Xenopus tropicalis: one gene and its partners. The protein of the gene in region 1 interacts with the protein of each later gene in a biochemical or structural test. Links are inferred from orthologs where the notes say so. Each region holds a gene or a part of one and is shown in the gene's direction. Other genes may lie near its edges.

Evidence for each region.
Region 2: the proteins of tfap2a (region 1) and cited2 form a complex in vitro, tested with the Homo sapiens proteins (2 studies listed by BioGRID, with this or other methods). The link is inferred for Xenopus tropicalis from reciprocal best matches to the Homo sapiens genes TFAP2A and CITED2.
Region 3: the proteins of tfap2a (region 1) and kctd15 form a complex in vitro, tested with the Homo sapiens proteins (2 studies listed by BioGRID, with this or other methods). The link is inferred for Xenopus tropicalis from reciprocal best matches to the Homo sapiens genes TFAP2A and KCTD15.

The regions. Positions count from the first base shown.
Region 1 is NC_030682.2:90,359,826-90,364,140, reverse strand, and holds the start of tfap2a (transcription factor AP-2-alpha), read left to right. Parts: upstream 1-1,420; 5' UTR 1,421-1,490; coding exon of another isoform or gene 1,491-1,496; coding exon 1,497-1,541; intron 1,542-2,352; exon of another isoform or gene 2,353-3,185; coding exon of another isoform or gene 3,186-3,341; intron 3,342-3,372; exon of another isoform or gene 3,373-4,044; coding exon of another isoform or gene 4,045-4,071; intron 4,072-4,315.
Region 2 is NC_030681.2:63,256,041-63,260,214, forward strand, and holds cited2 (cbp/p300-interacting transactivator 2), read left to right. Parts: upstream 1-1,306; intron 1,307-2,726; coding exon of another isoform or gene 2,727-2,733; coding exon 2,734-3,411; 3' UTR 3,412-4,055; downstream 4,056-4,174. UniProt on the Homo sapiens protein: Transcriptional coactivator of the p300/CBP-mediated transcription complex. Acts as a bridge, linking TFAP2 transcription factors and the p300/CBP transcriptional coactivator complex in order to stimulate TFAP2-mediated transcriptional activation.
Region 3 is NC_030680.2:67,909,103-67,912,755, reverse strand, and holds part of kctd15 (BTB/POZ domain-containing protein kctd15), read left to right. Parts: intron 1-2,437; exon of another isoform or gene 2,438-2,605; intron 2,606-3,189; 5' UTR 3,190-3,201; coding exon 3,202-3,365; intron 3,366-3,653. UniProt on the Homo sapiens protein: During embryonic development, it is involved in neural crest formation. Inhibits AP2 transcriptional activity by interaction with its activation domain.

The DNA.
Region 1 (4,315 bases):
GTGTATTATATTTAGCCGATACTGAATTATTTAACCCTGTGCTTAGAGGCAGATGGAATATTTACACTGTAATGCTTATTTTACAGTAAAATTCCTTACCTTGTTTTATATCACACGGTAATAAAACTTTATATTAATTAGTTCAGCACGTACCCAATAAGGAACCACCGCATACATCTATATTTTGGAGTTTCACATCATTAGCAGTTCTGAAAGCACCTACTCCACCCAAAAATGTTAATGGCGATTTAATGCGAGGGCTATTGATCTGGGGGCTTAGTGTTAAGGGGTCGCTCCCACCCTCTCTCCCCTCTAAACTTTAATGTTTGATCCTCGGGTGAATATTCACATTCAATTAGCTGGGCGGTCATGGTAATCGTGCCGATGGGGCCTGGGTCTGTCTGGCCTCCCTGCATGGCGCTGGCTGGAGATGGACCCTTTTCAAGTTGCCAGTCAATCTGCATAGGCTGGGGAATAAGGCTGAGCTCAATTTCAACCTGAATGAGAGAAAAAACAACTATTTATACAAGACTAAAGCGAGAACACAATGAAGGAACCTTAGTCTTGTTTTGTAGATACTTCTAAAATCATCATGACATTGGCTTTAGACCCCAGTAGTGGCTCCAGACACCTTCTTTAGTCAGATGGCTATTCTCATCTCATTTACCACCACCCAGGGTTTTATCATTATACCCACTGTGCCCCTATGAGCTAAGCTAGAGACTACATACTGACATACCGAGAGAAGAGACAAGAAGCACATTATCTGCTTTGATAATTACACCAGACAAATCTCGTCTCCCTAATAACCCATTGCAGCCCAGAATAGGCCACTCATTCTCCCAGTGTAATGTGATTTAGTACAATTAGCTCTGCTCCCACAACCTAGTGTCAGAATGAAACTCATCTCATTAGATTCAACATCATTTCCTCATCTCCCTTCAATTAAAAGGTTCTCTGAGTGCTACATCTAGAAATTAGTGGGGGATATATTTTTTATTATGCAGGTTATAACCCTGAAATAATTGCCAAGTGGCATAAATCATGTATACAGTGCCATTCTTTTTTTCTATGGTATCTGTGTGCAAAAACAGAAATAGAACTGATGAACAGCAACACATGGAAAGGAATAAAATGTAACGGCCTTGGCAAATATGAAATCTATTGATGATTTGTGCGAAAAACATGGATATTTTCTGTATGGAAAGGAATGTATATATTGTTATAGGGACTGATATTGGGGCTATGGGATCCCAAAGTGCTCCCCTTATGCTGACTGGGAGGCTGGGAGCAGTGGGGCAGTTGCCTGTATGCTAATGAGCACATCAGGACTTGGTACTGGGAAAAAAAGAAACTTTCCACCATTAGAGGGAGATCTGAGTGCACCAAAAGCATCGCTCCAGCCTCCCTCTCTGTAAGGCACACACAGGGACTGCTGCACACAGGACCAGGGACAAGGAAGAACTGGAAAGGTCTCTTCCCAGCCACCCATGAAAATGCTCTGGAAACTAACGGATAATATCAAATATGAGGAGTGTGAGGTAAGGGCCCTGCAGCACTTTTTCTAACAGTTATATGTCCCCCTCCGATCTCTACCTTGTGTGTGTACAGAGTTATTCTGTAAGGTCTGCCGGAGTTTAAAGTACCTGACTCTCTGAGCCCTTTTACTTGTCGGACAGGAACCTTGCACTGCCCTGTAAATATGGCTCAGATTCAGAAATACGTATTTATATACACACTCCCAAACTTGTCTCTCTAATATTACTTTTTATTCATTCAACAACATTGTATATGCTTTTGTTCCCTATGGATAATATGTTGACAAATGAACAAATTATTTAGTTATTGATATAGTTGTGATTTTTTTATACACTAGTTATTTATATCACTATATATATATATATATAGTGTATATAGTAAGTATATATGTATATCCCCCAATTTTCTAAACAGGTAGGGTCGGATTTGTAGCTTTCCAAGGAACGCAGAGTGCAGGGCAAATAGTGCAAAGTGTGTGAGTGACGGATGTGAGTTCAGCATTGGAGCTCACCTGAGAGAGACCCTGATACAGAGGACATGTTGGTGGGGGCTGCCACTGAGCATGGATCACTGTCTTGTTAGGACTTGCAGGCAGCGGCACTGAGTCGCACTCACACCAGACAAATTTGCTAGCATTACCCAAGCGGTTGGTTAAAACACTAAACACAAACACAAGTATATATATATATATATCTAGTGTGTGCTTCATTGTACCTTCATTTTATTTTTATCTGTATTTTTAGGAGACTAAATTAAGCGCAGTTATACATGAAGCTGCCACAATGCAGCAGGGGCACAGCACTGAGATTTCTGATGTTTTACCTGGACTGAAAGCTGAATATTTTGAAAGGCTCTGGTGTCTCAGGTAAAGGATCAGACAGGAGGGAGAGGGCAGAACAGGGTCCCTGTGCATTAGGCAAAGGCTCTTGTAATCTCCCTTTCAGCGCCTGCTTGAAGCCTTATTTTGTTAGCTGTGCATATTTGTACAGGGACATGCAGGCGGTAGGTGGCTCTTGTTGTTCTAACCCCAGCCAGCCAGGAGTTGTGTATAGTTGAACATGACATATTTTGGAGGAGTTGTTTGCTGGAGTGGTAGAGCCAGTCTGACGGGTTTCGAGTGGGAGACTAGGAGAGCCGGGGACGGGCGGAAGGGAGGCAGATTCGGAGCCGGGCAGAACCGAGCCGCGCTGGACTCAGCTCACCCCCTCACTATTGCGGACTGGGGCAGAACCGTTGCCGCTGCGCTGTGCGAACTATAGCATCTACTTCCCAGGCAAAGCGCCCTATCTGCACCCTGGATCTGCCAACGGGGACAGGAAATCAGAGCTAAACAAAAAGAAGAGAGTTGCCCTGCTCCCTTCCGGGCCCTGCATGCTCCCACAAGCACAGCAGCAAGGGTGGATTTCTCTTTTGTCTCACACTGAGCTACAGGGCTTTGCTGGGCTGAGGAAGGAGCCCTGTCTCACATGTTTAGCCCCAAGCAGCGCAGTGGTACAGGTTATTCGTGTACGAACTAAGGACACAGGTTAAGAGCTGCTGAGATCTGGGGCAGGAGGACATACAGAGAGCTGCCGGGCAGAATTTTGGAGGCTGCCATTTTAAGCTGGTTCTGTTCTGTGGCACTTGTGGTTGCAGCCCATAGGGCTATGGATCAGTCACAGAGGGCAGGAGATTCGGGCCCCTCAGATACAGACATGAAAAGCAAAGGGTTGAACTCCACAGAGAACATTCCCGTCCCCAGCAGCAAGAGAAGGACCTCAGACATGGACATGTCATTTCCAGGATATTCCCAGGATTCCCAGGTGCCAAATCCTTTTATCTGCCCCTCACCCCCCTTGCCTGTCACTGCTGATCCCCATACTCTGGAGCTGTTTCCCTTTTGCATGCCCTGCAACCTTTAAAATGTCCCCCCCTTCCTTGTGATTCGTCAGCCAGCCCCCCTCTCTCCCTCACTCTCTGAGTCTCTCCCTCCTCTTCCTCCCCCTCCACCTCTGATTAGATACACTGCCTCTTCATTCAATGGACGTCATTTAGAACAGGGCTCTGCCTTGAGTTGCCTCTTCGGTTCACGCTCGATTTCCAAGCATTCTTCCTTTATTAAGTATCGGTGTAATATTAATAGTCATGAATATGAGGGCTGCAAGGCTGGCAGCCTGCGCCTGTTAGTAGGAAAAGCCTGCGGAGCTGCATCCAGGAACAGTGTCTAGGGGACAAGGATTAAGGAAACCCAGAAATCCAAACTTTGCCTAAAACATCCCTCCCTGAATAGCAATTGTGCTCTCAACCCAAAATGAAGAAGAATTTCCTCCACATCTGATGGATTATATATGCTTATTATGCCTACAGAGCCTTGGTCCTTATGATTTTGTAGGGACCAGTTTCTAGAGCTGGGATTTTATTTTCATTTTTTTTCCACTTCTCTAAATTTTTTTTTTCACATTTCTTCTTTGATCAACGTTTTCTTTCTGATTTCTCTTCTTCAATTTGTATATATACTCTGCCCAGATGTTGGTTCACAGTTTTTCCGCTATGGTGAGTGGCTTATTTCTAGCAATTATACAGTATTATTTCTGATCTGGGCGATTTTTATCTTCTTTTTTTTCCCTTTTTTTTACACTGAACCTTTGCGATTGCACAGAAATTGTTATCCTTTTATTTGTTTGGATCACCCTCAAATTTTTACCCCCCTCCTTTTTTAATAACAAATGCTGTATTTATTTAATTCACTGAGTGTTTTCTAATTTTTTAAATTAGTTTTTAATGTTTTTAAAGAGAA
Region 2 (4,174 bases), on another chromosome or scaffold:
GACTTTAGTGAATCGGGCCCACAGTGTATTAAATGCTGTCATTGATCTGACCCCTGCTTAGCCATGCAGTGATATTATCGTAAAATTTGCATCTAGAATCTATTTGCATAAGAATCTAGAACATAATTGTGAATGTAACAAGGCTATAACCAAGATCAACTTATACATAGATGGAGCTGTAAGCTGCCTATCTGTATTATACAAAGTACAACATACACATCTACAGCTGTTGCTTAATTTTAAGTCTTAACACACCCTGACAAAACTTTGTCTAGCACAGGCATTACGGGAGTTGTAGCACAACAATACATTTAAAAATGCAAGATAAGCTGAATTAAAAGCAGTGCAACTTAAATGTTGCACTGCAATGCATCAGTTTAACCCTTCTAATTGCATTTTATATAAGTAATTAATTTAGGTTGTGTAAAGCCTGAAATCAGAATGTATTTTCATGTTTAATGCTACACAAATAACGCTGCCTTAAAACCAAAGATGAAAGACTCTTATGTTTAACTATGCATCAACTACCAGCAGTTCTGGATGATGCATAGTTGAGGCATAGTTGGTCACAGGGCCAAGGACAATTAAGATTGATTAGCATGACTTTGCCCATGAAGCAAGTCTCTCATTTTATGTGTGTAACATAAGACATCAAAATACCTTGATTTAAGGCTTAGTAAAACTTGATTTATTTCGGAAGGCTTTATACAACTTGATGATCGTCAGTCACATATTTATACAAGAATAAACATATACATAAAATTGCAGCATGACCACATGATTTATCCAGATGGATTTTTAGCTCTGTGAGATATAAATAAATCTTTGTCTTTCATTCTCCACTACCTAACGGCGCTCTCAAATGAAACTGTATTTTTTTCTGAGCAACGAAAAGTTAATAAATAAACCTACTGACTAGCAAATCAAGCTCAAGTGATTAAACGCACGTGTCATAAGGAAAGAGAAGCTGTAGCCGCATAGGGATAGCAGGCTCTGTTTCAGTTCCGGCTGCGCTTATCCAGGTCTTACTTATGCTTCCTCACTAGGGTTTTCCCCTCCCCCTTCTCCACTTCGCTCCTCCCTTTCGCAATCCTATATTAAACAAGCTGGGAAAAAGAAGCACAGTTCATTGTTGGCAAGTACTGATGTGTGGTGGTGGTAGAAATAGAGGAACTCTGTGCTGCAGCAATATCGTATTACAGGGTCATTTAGCAGACTACAAAAGGCAGAGTTGCTCTTCTCTCCTACATGTTGGGATCTGGCTCCTGATCCTCTGCAGTCAGCATTTTTGGAGCATTCTCAAGGGGTAAGCTTTTATTATTCTACCGTTCGGACTATTCTGCAGAGCCCTTTCTTCGTCGTCTCTACTCCCTTCTGTCTTTTTTTTTTTTTTGTTAGTGTTCGGCTTTGAGATGTAAGCCAGATGGCAGTGTCGTGCGCTATAAATAATTTAGTTTCGGTTGGTAAAATGCGTTGTTTTCGTGAGTGGCGTGCCTGTATTTTTATTTTAATCATGATTATTTTAGGATTGCATACCTTATGTATTATGGTATCCAGAAAAAGTACACGATTATTGAAATCCTGTGGAATGTGTTAAAAGTAGCTTTGTGGATGGCTTTGTGTGGATTCAGTAAGTTATCAAAGTAAGCAGTCTGTGCCGTGTTACAGCGCTGGGTAATTGGTGTGTGTATCAACATGCCACTTTGGCCGCATTTGTTAGTGGATCTGAAATCCTTTTAACAGAGGCAGACATGTTAGAGGATTGAAAAGAAACGTGCAGTAATGGGCTATTGAAAGTGTTGCATGAAAGATCCTCAAATAAACACAGCCAAGCTGCAGCCTCTAGCATATGGAGAAGGCTTGAGTATCTTTGTTTTCATTGTTGAATTCGACCGTGGCTGTTCTATTTCCAGGGCTGTATCCGATTTATTATATATTTCGGTTCTCTCGCATTTGTGTAAGAGAGTGTGTGTTTTCATCAGAGCTGTTTGTTTAAAGGCGTGTAAGGAATTTCAAGGGTTCAAGTTGCAAAGCACTGTTAAGCTGATCAGTTGACCAGATAAATGCATAGCCTCTTTTTTGTTTTGTGACAATAATCCAAAGGTGTGTGTGTGTGTGTGTGTGTGTGTGTATATATATATATATATATATATATATATATATATATATATATATATATATATATATATATATATATATATATATATATATATATATATATATATATATATATATATATATATATATATATATACTCTAATATTGGTATGTGTATAGATTTGAGCTGGCTTTTTTTTTTTTTTTTTTTGTATCAAGATGAATGATGTTTTGGTGTCATTTAAAAATGAAGCAAATCCATGGTGGGGAGAATGCATTATATTAATGCAGACCTACTGCAGTGTAATTCTTGTAATGTTGGTAACTTGAGGATTAAATGATGTCCATACAAAACCGTTTCTATCGGTATACAATACAGGAAATGAGCAGAAGTGTAGGTTAATCTGCATTAACGTGCAATGCATACATTTTCAATGTCTGCACAGTGGAAAGTAGCACTGTGTATTAAATGCTTCCATTAGTAGTAAAGCTGTTTAGGGCATGACTGTTAACAGCATAAAGGTGAAACCGCTTTGTTCAGAAAATACTTCCTTTCTGCCCTTATAATAATCGTTTGTCATTTGCCTGTTGTGTATTTTGAGGTTCATATTTTTTTTCCCTGTCCTTAGGTTTGCAATGGCAGACCACATGATGGCCATGAATCATAGCCGGTTTCAAGATGGAACTAATGGTCTTCATCACCCAGCTCATCGAATGGGGATGGGTCAATTTTCCAATCATCATCATCACCCGCAGCAACACACCTTTAACAGCCTAATGGGAGAACACATGCACTATGGACCAGGGAACATAAACGCTAACAATAGCATCAGACATGCCATTGTCACTGGGAATGTAAATGGTGGACATCCAAATGGCAGCATGGCACCAGCATCTAGATTTAACTCGCCATTTATGGGACCTGTCCCAAATCAAGGGGCTCAACTGACTGCTAGCATGCAGTTACAGAAGCTGAACAACCAATATTTTACTCACCACCCCTACCCACACAACCACTATATCCCGGAATTGCACCCTGCAAATCAGATAAATGGGACAAACCAGCATTTTAGAGACTGTAATCCAAAGCACAGCACTGGCATGCCTCCCTCAGTCAGCCACGTCCCTGCAGCTATGCTGCCTCCTAGTGTAATAGACACTGACTTTATAGATGAGGAAGTCCTAATGTCCTTGGTGATAGAAATGGGTTTGGATCGTATAAAAGAACTACCTGAGCTTTGGCTTGGACAGAACGAGTTTGATTTTATGACAGACTTTGTTTGTAAACAACAGCCTAACAGAGTAAGCTGTTAGGTGTGTATTAAGAGTATACAAAGACTTTGAACATTCCTTTATGGGCACAAAACCTTGCTTCCAGAGTCTGCTACGATCTGTACAGATTTTTTTTTCACGTTTTCTTGTCCCCAATACCACAATTTCCATAACTGAGCCTTTACTTTTTATTTAGAGTTTTGTTAAACAACCATGTTAAAACTTCCCCACCCACATGCACATCATTGTAACAACTTGATATAATACAGTTGTTGATTGCATGGGCCTTTAAAGGCAGACTTGCTGCACTAATACTGCCATGATGCTTCATTTAATCTATCATATTCTAAAGTGGCGGTTTCACAAATGTGAGCTAAACCTTGCTGGAAAAGTCCTTCTGTTTGTTTAGTTTGCCATAATTGCCCCTCCTTCCCTTTTCTAGTATAAATCCATGAGATGGGTAAGATGGTTTTTGGAACATTTCACCCAATTTTTTTTTTTTTTTTTTTTTTTAACTCTCTCAATGTTTGACACTGTGCTTAATAGTTAATTTAGTTCATGGAAATACTACTGCGTTGAAGGCTTTTTAGGAAATTTTGACAGTATTTTTGTACAAAACATTTTTGAGAATACTTGTTAATTTATTCTATTTTAATTTGCCAATATCAATAAAGAGCTTCAAAGTGCACTATTCTAGTGTGGATTAATAAGAATTCTATTGTATTATAGTTTGGTCAGTCACCCTAACGCTGAAACATTCTTTAAAAGAGAATGCAAGTCAAAATTTTAAAGCATACTGCTCAAT
Region 3 (3,653 bases), on another chromosome or scaffold:
ATAGCTTTTACAAGCAGCATTTGTGCAGTAAGGTCTATAAAGACAGGGGGAAACAATCTTGCTCTGAAAGAACTTGATGTGTAATTCTTGAAAGGAAATAAAGAAAAAAAAAAAGACATTTCCACATAATTTGGGGACCAGGCGGTATTGGTTTTGCCTACGGCAGGATCGGCTGCTGCTGAATACTTGTTTGTGCTTTAAATTTTTTTTCATGCAATTAAGGATAGTGGTTATTTTACATAGAACAGACTAATTTAATTGCACTTAACCCAGTGTATGCCTGAAGGACACGCAATGCCTTGTGCTGGAGGGACAGGGTCACTAGTAAAACCAAATGATTGCATATAGTTTTGTTCAGGGAATTAGTAAGTTGTTTATGTAATTATGTAATTATTTAGATATGTTTATATATTATTTTTGTGTGATCTATAGCCCATAACCTACCTCAGAGTATCTCAGTAAGAGATCTATTATCCAGAAACCCATTATCTAAAGGCTCAGAAAATAAAGAAATACCATTTTCTCAAGTCCAATGGTCCTTGGTTGCAAAACATTCCCATTTGGTTTTTTAATGTTTAAATAGTAACCATTAGAAATATTGCCCTAAATTATGGAAAACCATTTAAGCATAGAACCGTAGGTCCTATGCATTCTTTATAATACATCACATATCTGTAATATTGTATGTGAAATAATGTTTATTATCAGATTTCAGCTCCAAATACTTGCTATAATGTAACTCTGATTAATACATGGAAAACCATTTTGGGAAATGAACATGAACATCATTTTGCCAATGTATGGACCTCCATCAGCCAAAATACCAATTTTGTTGTGCTGGCCCTCAACATGGAAGCATGAATTAATACATTTAGCTTTCAAACTTTTAGTGGCAGTACCTCATTCTTTTGTACAAAATAGCTCAGATACTTTTCATTGTAATAAAACCTCACCTTGGCCCTGACCATGCATAGCATATAACTGAATCAGCTTAGCAAGGCATCTCTAATGCACATGAAAATAAGCACCCCATTGGAATCAGTCCATCGCATCTTTAAACAAAGAAAAAACAAATGCAGATGTTTCCAATGTTCTCAATGAGGTCTAGATCCAAACAACTGGGGCATTGTAAGTATGGAATCTAGAGATTCTAATGACCTTTCAAAAGTTCATGGTCTGTGAAATGTTCTGCAGTATGACGTTTCCAGCTAAGTAATTATCCCTACAATCCACATTTCAGTACATAATCCAAACTTTTTGTCAGTTATAAGCATGGGACACAGGTTATTTGTATATATTTATTCTGTTCTTCTTTTTCCTTATTATAATGTCTCATACTTATTATACTCTTGTTTTAGCAAAATAAACACAAACTTCAGCCAGTTGGCCCATGAAAAACTTACAGCATAGTAATTGTAATGAAGAAAGCTGGCTCTTTCATTGGCTGTTAACTTTTTAACTCCACATTAATATACGGCTCCTCTCTGTGCTTAGCGAATGGGTGCCATTCATTCATTAGCATCTTGATTGCCCATTCTGGCCCATAGTTCTGTATATAATGTCATTACAATTCTGGCTGTCTGAAGCACCTGACAGTATTAGGAAACGGTGGGTTACATTTTAGCCGAAACTGTTGGTTGCATTAAGTGCTGGGTTGATAAAGATCCAGGTGTAAAAGGTAAAATGCTTATAATTAAGAAATAACATATTTAATTACCCACTATTGCAAGTAATGATAATTATTGTCCCTTACAAAGCTCAAATTTCATACTGGATAAACCAATACAGTTTTTTTTGAAGAGCAGATAAATTATGTGACAAAAATGTAATTTTCCCCCAGCTATGATTAACTAAAAACATGGTTAGAAGCTTAGACTAGAGAGAACTCTATAGGGTTAGGAGAGTTGGGAGTTTAGAAGAACCTTAGGTACAGTGCAATATTAACATGTTTTTTTGCGTTTTTTTAATAGAATTTTTCATTACCTCATACAGTATGATATTTAAAAACTCATTTACATTGGTGTGCAAGGTGCAGAGCGAAAAATAAGTAGTCACCGTAGAAAGCAGACTAACCATTAATTTTATGCCTGCATTTTTGAACTTATAGCAGCAGTGAAGGATCCCAAATGAAGTTAAGTGACAGTTCAGAATCCTCTTTTGCCTTAAAGCATCTGGATCCATTTGGGGCTCTTATGATCCCACAGAGATCAGTGGACACTAATTATATTAAACTCAGCTAAGAAGGAAGGACACACATGCCTGTTTATTCCACACAGAGAATGTCCACAAAGGTGGAGCATAGAGACTGATGCTTGTAAGCACTTGTCTCCTGGTACACATGTGGGACTTCCTAACCTTCTGACCAGAGGTTTAACTGGGGCTAAAGAAGCCTTGGTGTATTTGCAAAGTTTGCTCATGTCATCAGGCACAGAATTACAACCACAGAAAAGGGTTTGCTGAAGCAGAACATCAGAACTTAAACAACATTTAATTATAGTAAAACAATGCACAAGAAAGACTAGAACTGGATCAATCTTCTAAGAAACGGCTTCGTTACAGAGAAATATAACCACAACGAAAACCTTTTAACAATGTCATTTCAAAGGTGACTTCCGAAAATTCATACTAAATAAATTTGAACTGATTTTTTCTTTCTTTTGTGGCTTTTTCCTTTTCATTGGATATTTTGATGGCATAGAAGTGAATAAAACAGAATGATTGTAGTGTAACAGGATTGATATGAAATGTACTCCTTGTGTATATTATATGCCTTAGGTACTGAGGAAGTCACTAATTTGGAGGTGTCTCGTTATTGAGACAAACTTGCAAAAGCCCCTGAATCCCAATTCACAAATTGGTTATTCGTTTGTCAGGGGATATTTCACATCTAACACATAAGCCCACGACCTTTAATTAGAATTTTGCAGTTTGTTTTATGCCCCTTGAGGCTGACACCTTGAAAAAAACGTTCCTTGGTTTCTTATTGCTAATAAGCATATTCCTCCTACCCTCTGGTATTTTGTAGAAAATGATGCAAATATACTTAATTGCAGCAGTGGCAATAATTTGTTAGCTGAGTATAGGATCAGGCAGATGTAAAAATGATCTGATTAGATCTATGATCACATCACAATCAGATAATACCACCGTGTACTGAATGAGAGGTTCTTTTAATTCTTTCTCATCCAGGAGGGAAGCAAAATGTCCCGTCTGTCTTTAACCCGCTCACCGGTTTCTCCCCTGGCTGCCCAAGGAATACCTCTTCCAGCACAGCTTACCAAATCCAATGCTCCGGTACATATTGATGTAGGAGGGCACATGTATACCAGCAGTCTGGCCACCTTGACAAAGTATCCAGATTCTAGGTAAGATGAGAATTTTTCTCATATATATGTATATTGTATGTCTTTTATGCATTTTCAGGGCAGTTCAGAACAATTAAAATATACTGATTGTTCATGTTTAATTAAATTCTGTAAATGTATTGTTTAAACAGGTGCCTTTATTGTCCCTTTGTTGTGTTTTAGCACAAGGTAGATTCTGAAACCAAGTCATTGTAAAACTGCAGGTGGATTAAATGTGCAGTATTCATGATTTAAAATACAATTATGTATAGCAGAAATGAAAGGGTACAGGAAAGCAAGGGACATTAA